Linked DNA regions of Alligator mississippiensis. The protein of the gene in region 1 interacts with the protein of each later gene in a pairwise test. Links are inferred from orthologs where the notes say so. Each region holds a gene or a part of one and is shown in the gene's direction. Other genes may lie near its edges.

Evidence for each region.
Region 2: the proteins of SH2B1 (region 1) and NTRK1 interact in a two-hybrid assay, tested with the Homo sapiens proteins (2 studies listed by BioGRID). The link is inferred for Alligator mississippiensis from reciprocal best matches to the Homo sapiens genes SH2B1 and NTRK1.
Region 3: the proteins of SH2B1 (region 1) and INSR interact in binary tests that used the Homo sapiens proteins (3 or more experiments, as listed by UniProt). The link is inferred for Alligator mississippiensis from reciprocal best matches to the Homo sapiens genes SH2B1 and INSR.

What each region holds. Positions count from the first base shown.
Region 1 is NC_081830.1:185,156-188,893, reverse strand, and holds the start of SH2B1 (SH2B adapter protein 1), read left to right. Parts: upstream 1-1,232; 5' UTR 1,233-1,317; intron 1,318-1,367; exon of another isoform or gene 1,368-1,484; intron 1,485-1,587; 5' UTR 1,588-1,805; coding exon 1,806-2,639; intron 2,640-2,825; coding exon 2,826-2,927; intron 2,928-3,034; coding exon 3,035-3,126; intron 3,127-3,398; coding exon 3,399-3,508; intron 3,509-3,738. Other genes in the region: ATXN2L (ataxin-2-like protein), read left to right, coding at 19-208, 296-345. UniProt on the Homo sapiens protein: Adapter protein for several members of the tyrosine kinase receptor family.
Region 2 is NC_081838.1:16,615,863-16,619,600, reverse strand, and holds the start of NTRK1 (high affinity nerve growth factor receptor), read left to right. Parts: upstream 1-856; 5' UTR 857-867; coding exon 868-1,124; intron 1,125-2,733; coding exon 2,734-2,808; intron 2,809-3,118; coding exon 3,119-3,190; exon of another isoform or gene 3,191-3,209; coding exon of another isoform or gene 3,210-3,244; intron 3,245-3,738. UniProt on the Homo sapiens protein: Receptor tyrosine kinase involved in the development and the maturation of the central and peripheral nervous systems through regulation of proliferation, differentiation and survival of sympathetic and nervous neurons.
Region 3 is NC_081839.1:653,491-657,228, forward strand, and holds the start of INSR (insulin receptor), read left to right. Parts: upstream 1-1,523; 5' UTR 1,524-1,724; coding exon 1,725-1,806; intron 1,807-3,738. UniProt on the Homo sapiens protein: Receptor tyrosine kinase which mediates the pleiotropic actions of insulin.

The sequences.
Region 1 (3,738 bases):
CTCTCCTCCTCCCCGCAGGCCCATGTGCAGACGGGGCTGCCGGCTGCGCCCCCCCCACACCCCGGCGCGCCGCATCCGCCCCAGGTGATGCTGCTGCACCCACCCCAGACCCATGGTGGGCCCCCGCAGGGTGGCGTGCCCCAGAGTGGCGTGCCCACCCTCTCAGCCTCCACCCCCACCCCCTACACCTATATTGGTCACCATCAAGGTGAGTGGGGCTCTGCCCGAGGGTGCCTAGGGGGCTTTCTGGCCTCCCTCTGATACCCACCACTAATACCCGCTTCTCTTCCCACAGTTCAGTCCCACCCGTCCCAGCAGCTGCCATTCCATCCCCCTGGGAACTGACGCCTCCGGTCCTGGCTGTGAACTGAGATGTGTCCAGTGCAGCCCGGCCCAGCCCGGCCCATTGCACTGGGGGAGCAGGGGGCACCACCAAGCACCTTTGGGGGGGAGGGGGGAGTGGCGTTTTTAGAGGTGGGGCTGGCGGATGTCAGTCACTGCCCCCCTGCGGCTGCCCCCATGCCAGCCTTTTATTTCCTATAATTTATAAGGGGGGTCAGGCTGCGGCGGGTGCCGCTGGGGGGCCGTTGCTGTTGGGAGTGGGGGGCGGGGTGGTCCTGTGGGCTGTTCTTGTTTTTTTGGGGTTTCTTTGGGTTTTTTGCCCCCCCCCCAGCTCCCTGCTCCCCATGCTGGGCTGGGCCGGGCTAGGCCGGGCCAGGAGCTGCAGCCACGGGAACGATGCGCCTGGGCCTAGTTACAAAAAAAAATTAAAAAGGGAAAAAAAATACAAAAAAATGTAAAAAACCGAAAAAAATTAAAATTTTAAACTAACTCCAGCTCCTGCTTCGCGCTGCTTTGTGTGTGTGTGCGCGCGCGTGTGTGTGTGTGTGTGCTTGTGTGTGCACGTGTGCAAGGTCCTAGGGGCTGTGGAGGACTGCCCTGCAGGGGCCGGCTCGGCCGCCGCTCCGGAGATCGGCCCTTCTAGCCGCCGCTCGACCATGGCTTTTCCTTGGGGGGGCGGAAATGTCCTGGTCACACCATGGCGCATGCGCGCGGCGGCCGGCCCGTGTAGGCCCACCCCCGGCTCTGGTTCCCGGCCGCTCTTCTGTCAAGGCATTCCTGCCTCTCGGTGGTGCAGCGCTTTCGCTCTGGTACCAGCGAGGCTCCTCTCTATGGTCGCGGCGGCTGCCGGAAGCCGCTCTATCCCGCGGCTCAGCTCCTCTCCATGGTGCCGGAAGCCCCGCGACCCCGCCTGCGCCAAGCAGAAATGGCGTCATCAACCTGGAAACGCTGCTGTGCAGCCCCGCTGGGGATAAGGTAACCCGGAAGTGGAAGTCGCGGTGGGTGCTGGGAAGGGAGGAACCCGGCAGCGGAAGCGGCGGGTGGGCTGGGTCCGGGCCTAGACCCCCCCCTTCCCCCCACGTCCCCCCGCGCCCCGAGCCGCCGCCGACACCCGCGAGCAGCCGCAGCCGCCGGGCGGGATGGTGAGGGGCAGGGGTGAGGGGCACCGCTGCGTGGGGCTGCGGGCGGGAGCGGGGGGCATTGGGTGGGGAAGACCCCTCTTGTGTCCGTGTGTCCGTCCCGCAGGTGAGCACGGCCTTCGCGCCTCTCTCGGCACTTGCAGCGCCAGCACCAGCACCAGGCTCCGCAGGGGCCGCGTCCACGTTGCTGCCTGCGCCCTCGTCCTCGCTGTCGCGGCGGCGGTGGTGGCCGGCGGGGCCCTGGCGCCCGGCCTGTCCCGGGTTGGCTGCCGCAGGAGCCGGCACCGGCGCAGGGGGCGCAGCAGCGGGGGCAGCGGGGGCGTCATGAACGGCGAGGCTGCGGGCCCCGGCCCCTCGGTCCCGGCCCCCTTGGCCCTGGCCCTGCCCCCGCCCTCGTCGCCGGGCTGGCGCGACTTCTGCGAGGCTCACGCCCGCGCTGCCGCCATGGACTTCGCCCGGCGCTTCCGCGCCTTCGTGGCCGAGAACCCGCGCTTCGCTGCCCCGGGGGCCGAGGCCGCTTTCTCCCGCCGCTACGCCCAGAGCTTCCTGGAGCACTTCCAGGCCGAGCTGCGCGGGGCCGAGGCGCCTCCCTCCGGCGACCCTGCTGAGACCTGCAGCGACTCGTCTCCGGGGGAGCTGGCGCCTGCCTCCGGGCTCTCCAGCAGCCAGTCACGCAGCTCCGAGGACGTCTCCGCGGCGGCCGGCGTCCCCCCACCCAGCACCAAGCCCAAGCTGAAGAAGCGCTTCTCCCTGCGCAGCGTGGGGCGCTCTGTGCGGGGCAGCGTGCGCGGCATCCTGCAGTGGCGCAGTGCCCCTGACACCCCCCCGCCCACAGCTGCCGGGAGCCCCGAGGACGGGGCTGCCGGGGGCAGCAACACGAACTCAAACTCTTCGGGCGGGGCAGAGGGGGAGCGCTGGACCCACCGCTTCGAGCGGCTGCGGCTAGGACGGGCTGCCCCTGCGCTGGGTAACAGCCCTGCCGCCCCCGTGCCCGCTGTGCGCCGCGAGGGACTGCTCAACTACATTGTGGCTGACGACGGGGCCGGGGCGGGGGCCGGGGGGCGCCCCCCGCGCTGGCAGAGGTGCCGGCTGCTGCTGCGGCAGGCAGGCAAGGGCGAGGGGGAGGGCTTCCTGCTGGAGTTCTTCGTGCCTCCAAAGGTGAGGGGCCAGGAAAGGGCTGCGGGTCGGGAGCGAGGGGCGCCGCTGTGGGTGGTTAGGGAGCTGTGGGGCAGGAGTGAGGGGCACCAGCAGCACTTGGAGTCCCAGGTTCTTTTGGTGGGAGGCTCCCCTCTCGGCCCTCGGGGCTGTGGGGCCGCTCACGCTGATTTCTCTCTGTCCCTACAGTCGACTAAGCCGCGGGTGAGCGTCCCTTGCAGCGCTGTGACGGCCGCTCGTGCCACCACGCCCCTCGAGATGCCTGACCGGGAGAACACCTTCGTGCTGGAGGTAGCGGGAGGGTCCAGTGTGGGGGCTTTGTGGGGCAAGGAGGGTGACGCCAGGGGGCAGTGGAGGTTAGGGGTCATGGTCTGACCCCTATGTGCCCCCTGCGGCAGGCAGGGCTGGCAGGCGAGTTTATCCTTGAAACCGTGGATGCACTACAGATGCGCTCGTGGCTTGTTGACATCCAGGACTGCCTCAGCCCCAGGTGAGTGCCGTAGCCCCGGTCCCTCAGATCTTCCTGGGCCCCCGACCCATTTTAGTTCCTCTTCCAGATCCTGACACTTTTCCCTTTGACTTCTCCAGGAGCTTTCTGCACTCCCCAGGTTTCTCCTGGCCTTCCTTTCCCCCCACCCCCGCGCATACCACTAGACCCTTGCACAGGTTTTGGGGTCCTCTCTGGCGCTGGGGCAATGCTGGGTGGGCGGGAGTCTTATGCACATAGATGCCTCCATGCTTACAGCGGTGTCCTGTTTGCAGGGAGGAGATGGGCAGTGCGGACCCCCCGTTCCTCAACCACCACACAGGGGGGCTGCCCAGCCGGGACCCTCCCCTGGTGCCCAGCGACAGCAGCGAGCAGCTCTCCCAGGGTGAGTACATGCCCTCAGTTCCCAGCAGTGCCCCACACTTCTGTCCTCTGGCCCCCCACAGCCACGCTTCTCGTTCCCAACCCACAGAACCCCCTCCCAGCAGCACTTTTTATTTCTAATCAACAGCCTCCCCCAGCGATGTCTCTCACTTCTGACTTGCAGCCCCCCAATGCTATTTCTTGGGGTGTCATGGGGGATTACACGTGGGCACTCATCTCGTCCACCCACAG
Region 2 (3,738 bases), on another chromosome or scaffold:
CCTGTGACCTCAGAGCACCCCGGAGCATAGCCTGTGGGTTCTGCGATGGCCTCAGCCAGGGTCCCAGAGGAGCAGAGCTCAGGACCCCAGGGGGGTGGGGGTGCAGAATGCAGCCAGCCAGGCCTCCCCTTGGCTGAAATGCAGCCACCTCTGGGGAGCAGCCAGGTGGCTTGTGTGTGTTGGAGGTGGGGCAAGGCCCCATGGCAAGGGCAGTGCTGTGGGTTTGGGCTTGGATGAGGCCACGAGGAGCACAGTTGTGTGTTTGGAGGCTGGGGGTTCAGACCGCCAAGGTGCCTGGCTGGGGGAAGCTGAGGAAGGTACTGTGGTGGCACTGGGGGAAGTTGTGGGGAGCTGCATCATGTGTGCACGTGTATGCATGGGTCCCAGGCTGGGGTGGGGGCTCCTCTCCTGCTCTGCTGATGCCCCCCACCCCAGCTGTGCCAGTGCCCCTCACTCCTGACCCACAGTCCCCCCATCTGCAATCCCCCCACTCCAACTGTGCTGGTGCCCCTCACTCCTGACCCACAGCCCCCACATCTGCAATCCCTTCAGCCCAGCCATGCCGGTGCCCCTCGCTGCCGACCTGCAGCCCCCTTCTCATCCCCCTACAGCTGTGGGGAGTTGGACCCACTTTCCCTGCTGTACACCCCCACTCCCTTGCAATGGGGCCTGTTCCCTGCAATGCTCCCTTCAATCCAAATCTCCCCTTGGTGCCCAGGGGCTGTGCCCAGGGGTGCCCAGATGTTGGACAGCTCCTGCCTGGGCTGGGCTGGGCTGGGCTGGGCTGGCTGCAGCTGTCTAGGGAGGAGGGCTCTGACAAGCTCCTCCCTGCAAGGCTGGACATGCCGTTGCCTTTAAGCCGGGCAGATGCCTGCACACCCATGCTGGCCACCGCCTGCCCGGGCAGCAGGTGCACGGAGCGCTGGGGACCCGCTCCGGGCACCGGGGCCCACCATGCTGCCCGCCTGGCTGCTTCCGCTGTGCTGCCTGCTCCTGCCCTTGGGCTGTGCCAGCCCCTGCCCCAGGGGCTGCAGGTGCTTCGGGACCCTCCAGCTCCAGTGCCTGGAGCCCAGTGGCCTCCGCAGCCTGGCAGAGCTGGCAGGGACGGAGAACTTCACCGACGTGTGAGTACCTCGGGGGTGTGGGGGAGGCAGGCCAGGTGGGGAGCTGGAGACCCAGGAGATCAGGAGGGCTTGGGAGTGCCCAGGGTGGGGTCACAGCCAGCCTCCCCTGGTCTGTGCCCCCTACTCTGCTCCATCCCTAGGAGACATCGTGCCGGCAGTGGAGGGGCACCCCCAGCTAGGCTCAGGCCCTGGGGGGTGGGCTGCCGTCATCCCTGGCCACCTTGGAGCCGTGGGAGCAGTCCCGTGCCCAGGCGTTGTGCTCAGGGTTGCTCCTGCTCCTTGCCCCCCACCCTGCATCCACCCTGGGCAAAGCCAGGGATGGACAGGGCAGGGCAGGGCAGGGCTGGTAGTGGGGAGGTGGCCATGGGAGCCAGCCCCCCTTCCCGCTGCAGCTCCCAGCACCACCAGGCATGTGGCCACCACCAGCCCCTTGTGCCCTGGGGGACAGACATGGTAAGGGGGAGGCTGGCAGCCCGGACACTTGGGTTCTGCTCCCAGCTCCGGGAGGGGCGCAAGGTCTATGGGAGACTGGACACTTGGGTTCCTTCACTGGCTTTTGGGCCCTCGAATCCCATCCCCGGCTTGCCAGCTCCCCTTGGCTGGGGCCATGCCTCGGTTTCCCTTTCTGGGGTGGGGCTGAACCTGGCGGGCGCTGCCAGGCCTTTGTTGCGCAGCGGCTGGGAGGGGCAGGGCACTTCCAGAGTGGGCTCCTCTGCCTGCCCCACGTGCAGGCGGCTTTGTGTGCTGCATTTATGGCCTCTCCTGAGCCCCATGCATCCATGCCAGGGGACATCCCCCTTACCCCAGGCAGCTGTCACCCCCCAGCTCATCCCACCCAAGGGGCCGCGGTGCCACGCAGAACAGGAGCAAGGCCCTGAGATCCGCACCCAGGACTCACCCTCTAGCCTCGTGATGCAGCTGCCCCACCCTGCTCGGGCACGGGGATGGAGGCTGGGTGGGGCAGAGGCTCCCAGGAAAAACCCAGGGCCCAGCCCCTGAGATGGAGCCCAGGAAAGTCGCCCCGGGCTGCGGGGTCCTGAGCCCCAGGGGATTCGCATGGGTCTGGGGGATCGGGACCCTTCTCCCTTCCTCTGTGGTTTGTAGAAGGTTATCGAGGGGTTTCCCAATGCTGTTTGCATTGGGAAGAGTCATTCACCACCCCTGCAGCAGAGCCTGGTGCCCGAACATGGGGGCAGGCGGGGGGGATGGTGCTGGGTTCAAGGCTGGGACATCTTGGGGTGGGGGGGTCCAGGGAGCAAGGGAATTGCTATTTGTGGGCCACAGGCAAAGGGGGAATCCAGCCATGGGACATGGATCACTGTGGAGTGGACCCGGACCAGCGCCCAGCACAGCCCCACTGGCAAAGTGCCCTAATGCAGCCCCAAGCTGGTTTCAGGGGAAACTGAGGCACCATGGCCCTCCACCCCAGTGAGAGCAGGGGCATCGGCGGCTGGGGACAGATGCTCCATCCAGGCCTGGAGCAGCTGGGAGGAGCAGAATAATGAGGGAAGAAGCCCCTTTATGGCCCCATCCATCAGCCCCCAGCGCTGCCTGCCTCCTGTCACCCTGCCCGGGGCCCGATCCTGCTCACGGCCTTGCTGCTTCCCAGGGTCATCGAGAACCAGAGGGCGCTGAGCCGCCTGACATCGGATGACATCAAGGCCTTCCGGGAGCTGAAGAACCTGTGAGTATCCCTGGCGCGTCACACGCGCGTGTGCAAGGGGGCGGGTTGGGGGCAGATCCCCTGTCCCAATACACCTCCCCCATGAAGCCTGCAGAGACTGGGGGGGCAAAGGGAGATGCAACCCCTGGGAACCAGCCCCCGGGGCTATCGAGAGCCGCCTCAAGGCTGCTCCAGCAGGTGCTCGGGTCTCCCATGCACCCGGCTCTGGTGCATCCACGTGACCTCCTGGGTTCCCCAAATTGCCCCCTCCATGATGCTGGGGTGGGGGGTGTGGCCTCCCCTTGCTCATGGCAGTCCCTCTGCCTCGTAGTACCATCTCTGGCTCAGGGCTGCACTCCATCACCGAGGACGCCTTCCACGCCACCCCCAAGCTCAGCTACCTGTGAGTCCTGGGGACTAAGATGGGGCCTGTCCTGCCTCCGTCTGTGCATCGCGGGTACCGGCCTCCCCCTCCCTGTGTGTCGTGGGGCGAGGGATTGATCGGGCACAGCTGTCCCTGCGCTGGAGAGCAATGCCGGCTGCAAAACTCAATCTGCCGGCAGCTGGGGCTCGGGGAGGGGGAGGCAGCTCGGGGGGAAGTGCTGCTCTGAGCTGGGGCAAGGCCCAGGTGCCCCCGGTGATGCCCCCTGCCCAGCTTGCTGGGGCAGATCTTGCTCCCCTTTTGCCCTTCTGTAAGTGCCCCCTTCTCTGGGGTGTTTGTAGCTGTGTGGGTGGTGCAGGGGAGCAATAGCAGGGGCACTCATTGCATGGGGGCAGGGCGTGAGAGACATCCCAGATGGTGGGCAGGGCTGGGGTCCTCGCAGGTGCTCTGGGGTTCCATCTCCCTGTGCCTCAGTTTCCCCTCCTGGGGCAATGGGGGTTGCAGCCTCACTGAGGTTGGGTAAGAGGGGGGCTGGGACCACCCTGGATGGGTTGCTCCTGCTCCATGTG
Region 3 (3,738 bases), on another chromosome or scaffold:
CGAGCTGGCCACGGCGGTGGCTGCGGGACTTCCCTGCCCTCGGCTGTGCCGCCGTTCTCCTTTCTGTCGTCGTTTTGGTTGTAGCTTCTGCCGTCGGAGCCAGCCTCGACGGAGCCTGGTCGGAAACGGGCGGCTACGGAAGAGGGCTCGACGGACTCGGATGAAGCCTTGAGGTGAGAAGCTAACGCTGCCCGGCCCTCCTTCGCATGTTTGAGCTGCTTTATTGGTGCTGTTGGCAGCGCTCTGACGCGGGGAGAGGCGACGTGTTGCGTGTCCCGGCTCCTGGCAGGGCCCTTGCAGCTCCGCTGCGCGTCGCGGCGTGATCCCTGCGCGGCTGGAGGCCTTGCTTTCCCCTCCGTGCTGTTTTCAGGAAGAGATTTCAGTCCTGGGCTCTTTGGGCTAACTAGTCTCGTCGAGCTTCCTGGTTCGTGCTTTGTTGTGAACACAAAAGGCTCAGCCCAGATCAAAGGCTGCAACTGGAACAATCTGAAATGAAAGTGCTTTGAGGGTGGTTTTTGTGACGGTTCGGAGCGGGCAACATCAGGTGCGCTCTAGTCCTGCCATCACACGCACAGGGCTGGGCCGCGGCGCGGCAGGGCGCGTCTTGCTCTGTCCCTCGGGCCTCGCCGCCCCTTCTGCGCGCGGGCCGCGGCGGTCAGCGCTGGGCCTTGCGCTGCTGGGCCGTGCCGGGGGTGGGGTGGGGAGCCCGCCTGGGGACCGGCCTTCAGACCGGGCGCTCTCGTAGACTGAACCGCAGGCGTGCGCACCGCTGCGCTGCTATGGAGCTAGCATGTATTTTTCTTTTCGCTTGCAGCAAGAAGCAGTCATTTTAGATAGAACAAAGAGGAACAGGATTGTCCCCAAACTGCTCCGTGCTTGGTGGTAGACGGATTACTCCCTGAGGGCAGGGGGCCGGGGCGGCGAGCACCCCCGCAGCGCGGGCGCTTGCTCCGGCCTCGGGGCGCCCTGCCCTTCCCTTCCCCTTCCCGGCGGCCTGGAGCCGGAGCCGGAGCCGGAGCCCCTCCTGGCTGGAGCAAGGCCGGCGCTGGCGGGAGGGGCTTGGAGGCGGACGCCTGAAGTAACAGAACAAGGCAGCCCCCGCCGGCCTCGGCCTCGGCCTCGGCCTGTAGCCTCGGGGAGAAGCGTGGCAGCAGCGCGGCTCTGCCCGGGGCAGCACGCGGGGCCAGGCCCGGGCCGGGGCTCCCGCCAGCAAGCGGCAACGCGCTGGTGCCAGCCGGCCCACACACGGCCTCGCGGGCCCACGGGCGGGCGGGACTCGGTCTAGCAAGAGCCCGGCGCTGCACAACCCTTCGCACCCCGCCGGGGCCGGGGCCGGGGCCGGGGCGAGGCGGGAGGGGGCTGCGGGCCGCCTCGCGCCGCTGCGGGAGCCCGGGCCGGGCCCGTGGGCCGCACACGTGCCGGAGGCGGAGGCGGAGGCGGGGCCGCTTGGGAGCGGCAGGTGGAGGCGGCTGGGTCTGCCCCGCCCGGGCCTGCTGGGCTCGGCTCCGCTCCGCCCGGCTCCGCTCCGCCTCTTGGCGCGGCCCGCGGGCTGACGGGGCGCCCCGTGTGCAGTGGCGCGGCCCGCGGGGAAGGCGCCGCGCAGCCCGGCCGAGCCGAGCGGAGCGGTGCGGTGCGGTGCGGTGCGGAGCGGCGGCGATGCGGGTGTGCTGGTGGCGGCGGCGGCGGCCCGGCGCGGCGCGCGGCCTGTGAGGAGCGGCGGGGCCATGGGGCCGCGGGCGGCGGCGGCGGCGGCGCTGGCGGTGGCCGTGGTGCTGGGGGCCTGGTGTGGACACGGCCGCGGCGACAGTGAGTGCGGGCCGGGGGAGGGCGGCGGCGGCGCGTCCCTGGGCCGGGCCGGGCCGGGCCGGGCCGGGCCCACCAGCGCAGCGGCCGCCGCCGGGTGTTGAGCCCGCGGCGCGGTGGGTCAGGGCGGGCTCGGGCCGCGGGCTCCCGCACTGTCCCCGGCGCCCTGCTCCACGGGCGCGGCCCCCACCCCACCCCACCCCACCCCGGCACAGGTCCATGCACACACGGCGCTGCCGCTCGCTCGCTCGCTCGCTCTCGGGCCCGGGGGCCGGTGTCCTGCTCCGGGCCAGCCGGCCGGCCGGCCGCGCACAGGTGGGGAGACGAGGGGCGATGGTGCCCGCCCGCCCGCGGCAGCGCCGTGTGCCTCTCCCCGTCGGTCCCATGTGTTTCGGGGCACCGGGAGCTCTCCGAAGGTGAGGGCCCGCATTGAAGGCTTTGGGATGGCTGGCTACAGGTGGCTGCGGCGTGGGTTGAAAACAGCCAGCTTCTCAAATGCAAAGACCTGAGCGTGTTGGAGGGCGACAGCGCGCACGCCTGCCCACACGCGCACAGAGCTCTTGTGCAAATTGACGCACGACACTCTGGAGAGCGAGCTCTGGCGCGACGGCTGCCCCTGCCGCCTGCCTTGCCCTGACACACACGTCTCCTGCGCGACGTCCCGCGCGCGTCGCGGACGGCAGGGAGAGTCTACGCCGCAGGGACGCGCACGGGTTGCTCCTGATCCCCGCGCTGGACTCGTGTCGCTGCAGTCTTGTGTTCGCCAAGCTTCTCACGAGAGTCTTGCACGCGGCCTGGCTGTACGGGGAGTTTCAGTCCGGAGGAAAGCTTCCTTCCCTGGAGGTTAAGGCGGGCCGTCGCCATCGCTCTGATCCCAGCCTGCCTCGGCGCGCTCGTGGGACTCCTCGAAGCGTCCCCGTAGCGTGGGCCGCTGCCCTCGGCGCGCTGTGCTTGCGGGCGGACCGGGAGCGGCGGGATGAAAAGCCCGTGTGGCCAAGGACTACCTGCCGAGCCCGGAGGCAGCTGGCGGGGAAGGGCTGTCGGGCTTGCCCTGCCTCGGGCTCGGTGGGGTGGGTGGCCCTCGGCGGACCGGCTCTCGAACGCCTTGCCCAGTACACGCGGGGATGCCCGTTGCTCCGGCCTGCCCTTCGCTTTCACGGAGACGAGCGTAACAGAGGCGTTCTTATTTCTCCGACAACCCTAAAAGCGGTAGCAGCTCCCAGGGCTCAGCTGAGCCTTTCGGGCTGGGCTGCGGAGTCTGCAACCAGCACAGAAGAAGCAGTCTCTTTGTCGGAGGAGGATTGGCCTTGGCTCAGCAGAGGTTTTTTTCCCCTTGCCCAGGAATAAAGACAGCAGCTGCCTGAGAGAGGTCATCTGAGGAGGCCAGGGGCATATAAACAGACTCTCACCTTCATCATAGCCTGGTCTGAGCATGCTTCACTGCCCAGGCCTCGCTAACGGGAGGAAAACAGTGCTTAAAACTAAACCTTGGTGTTTCATTCTTAGATCGTGTTTGTTAAAACAGTATGAAACGGGCCGGACCCCGGGTCTGAGCCCCTCCGGTTGAGGTCTTCCCTGGCCAGTGCCTGCCTCACGTCCCGTCTCCGCAGGGTGGAGACCATCACTCGAGAGCCACGAGCACTTGTGAAAACCGGACTGAAACTCGCTCGTCGTTTATAGAAGCTCGGCCCCCTTCCCACGTACGATTCCTGGAAACCAGAAGTGCAGGGAAGTGCCAGGGGTTTAGGCTGATCCGAATGGCTGCTGTTATCCACACGCGCGAGCAGGTTTTAAATACTCCAGTCAGCAAAACAAATTGTCTTCATGTGCAGTGCTGGGTTATGCGGGACTCTGGATATGGGCCGGAGCCTGTTGCGGCGAGTCGTTAGGGCTTGTTGTTCGCCGTTAAGCCAAGTGTCAGTCGTAGTTCTCCCC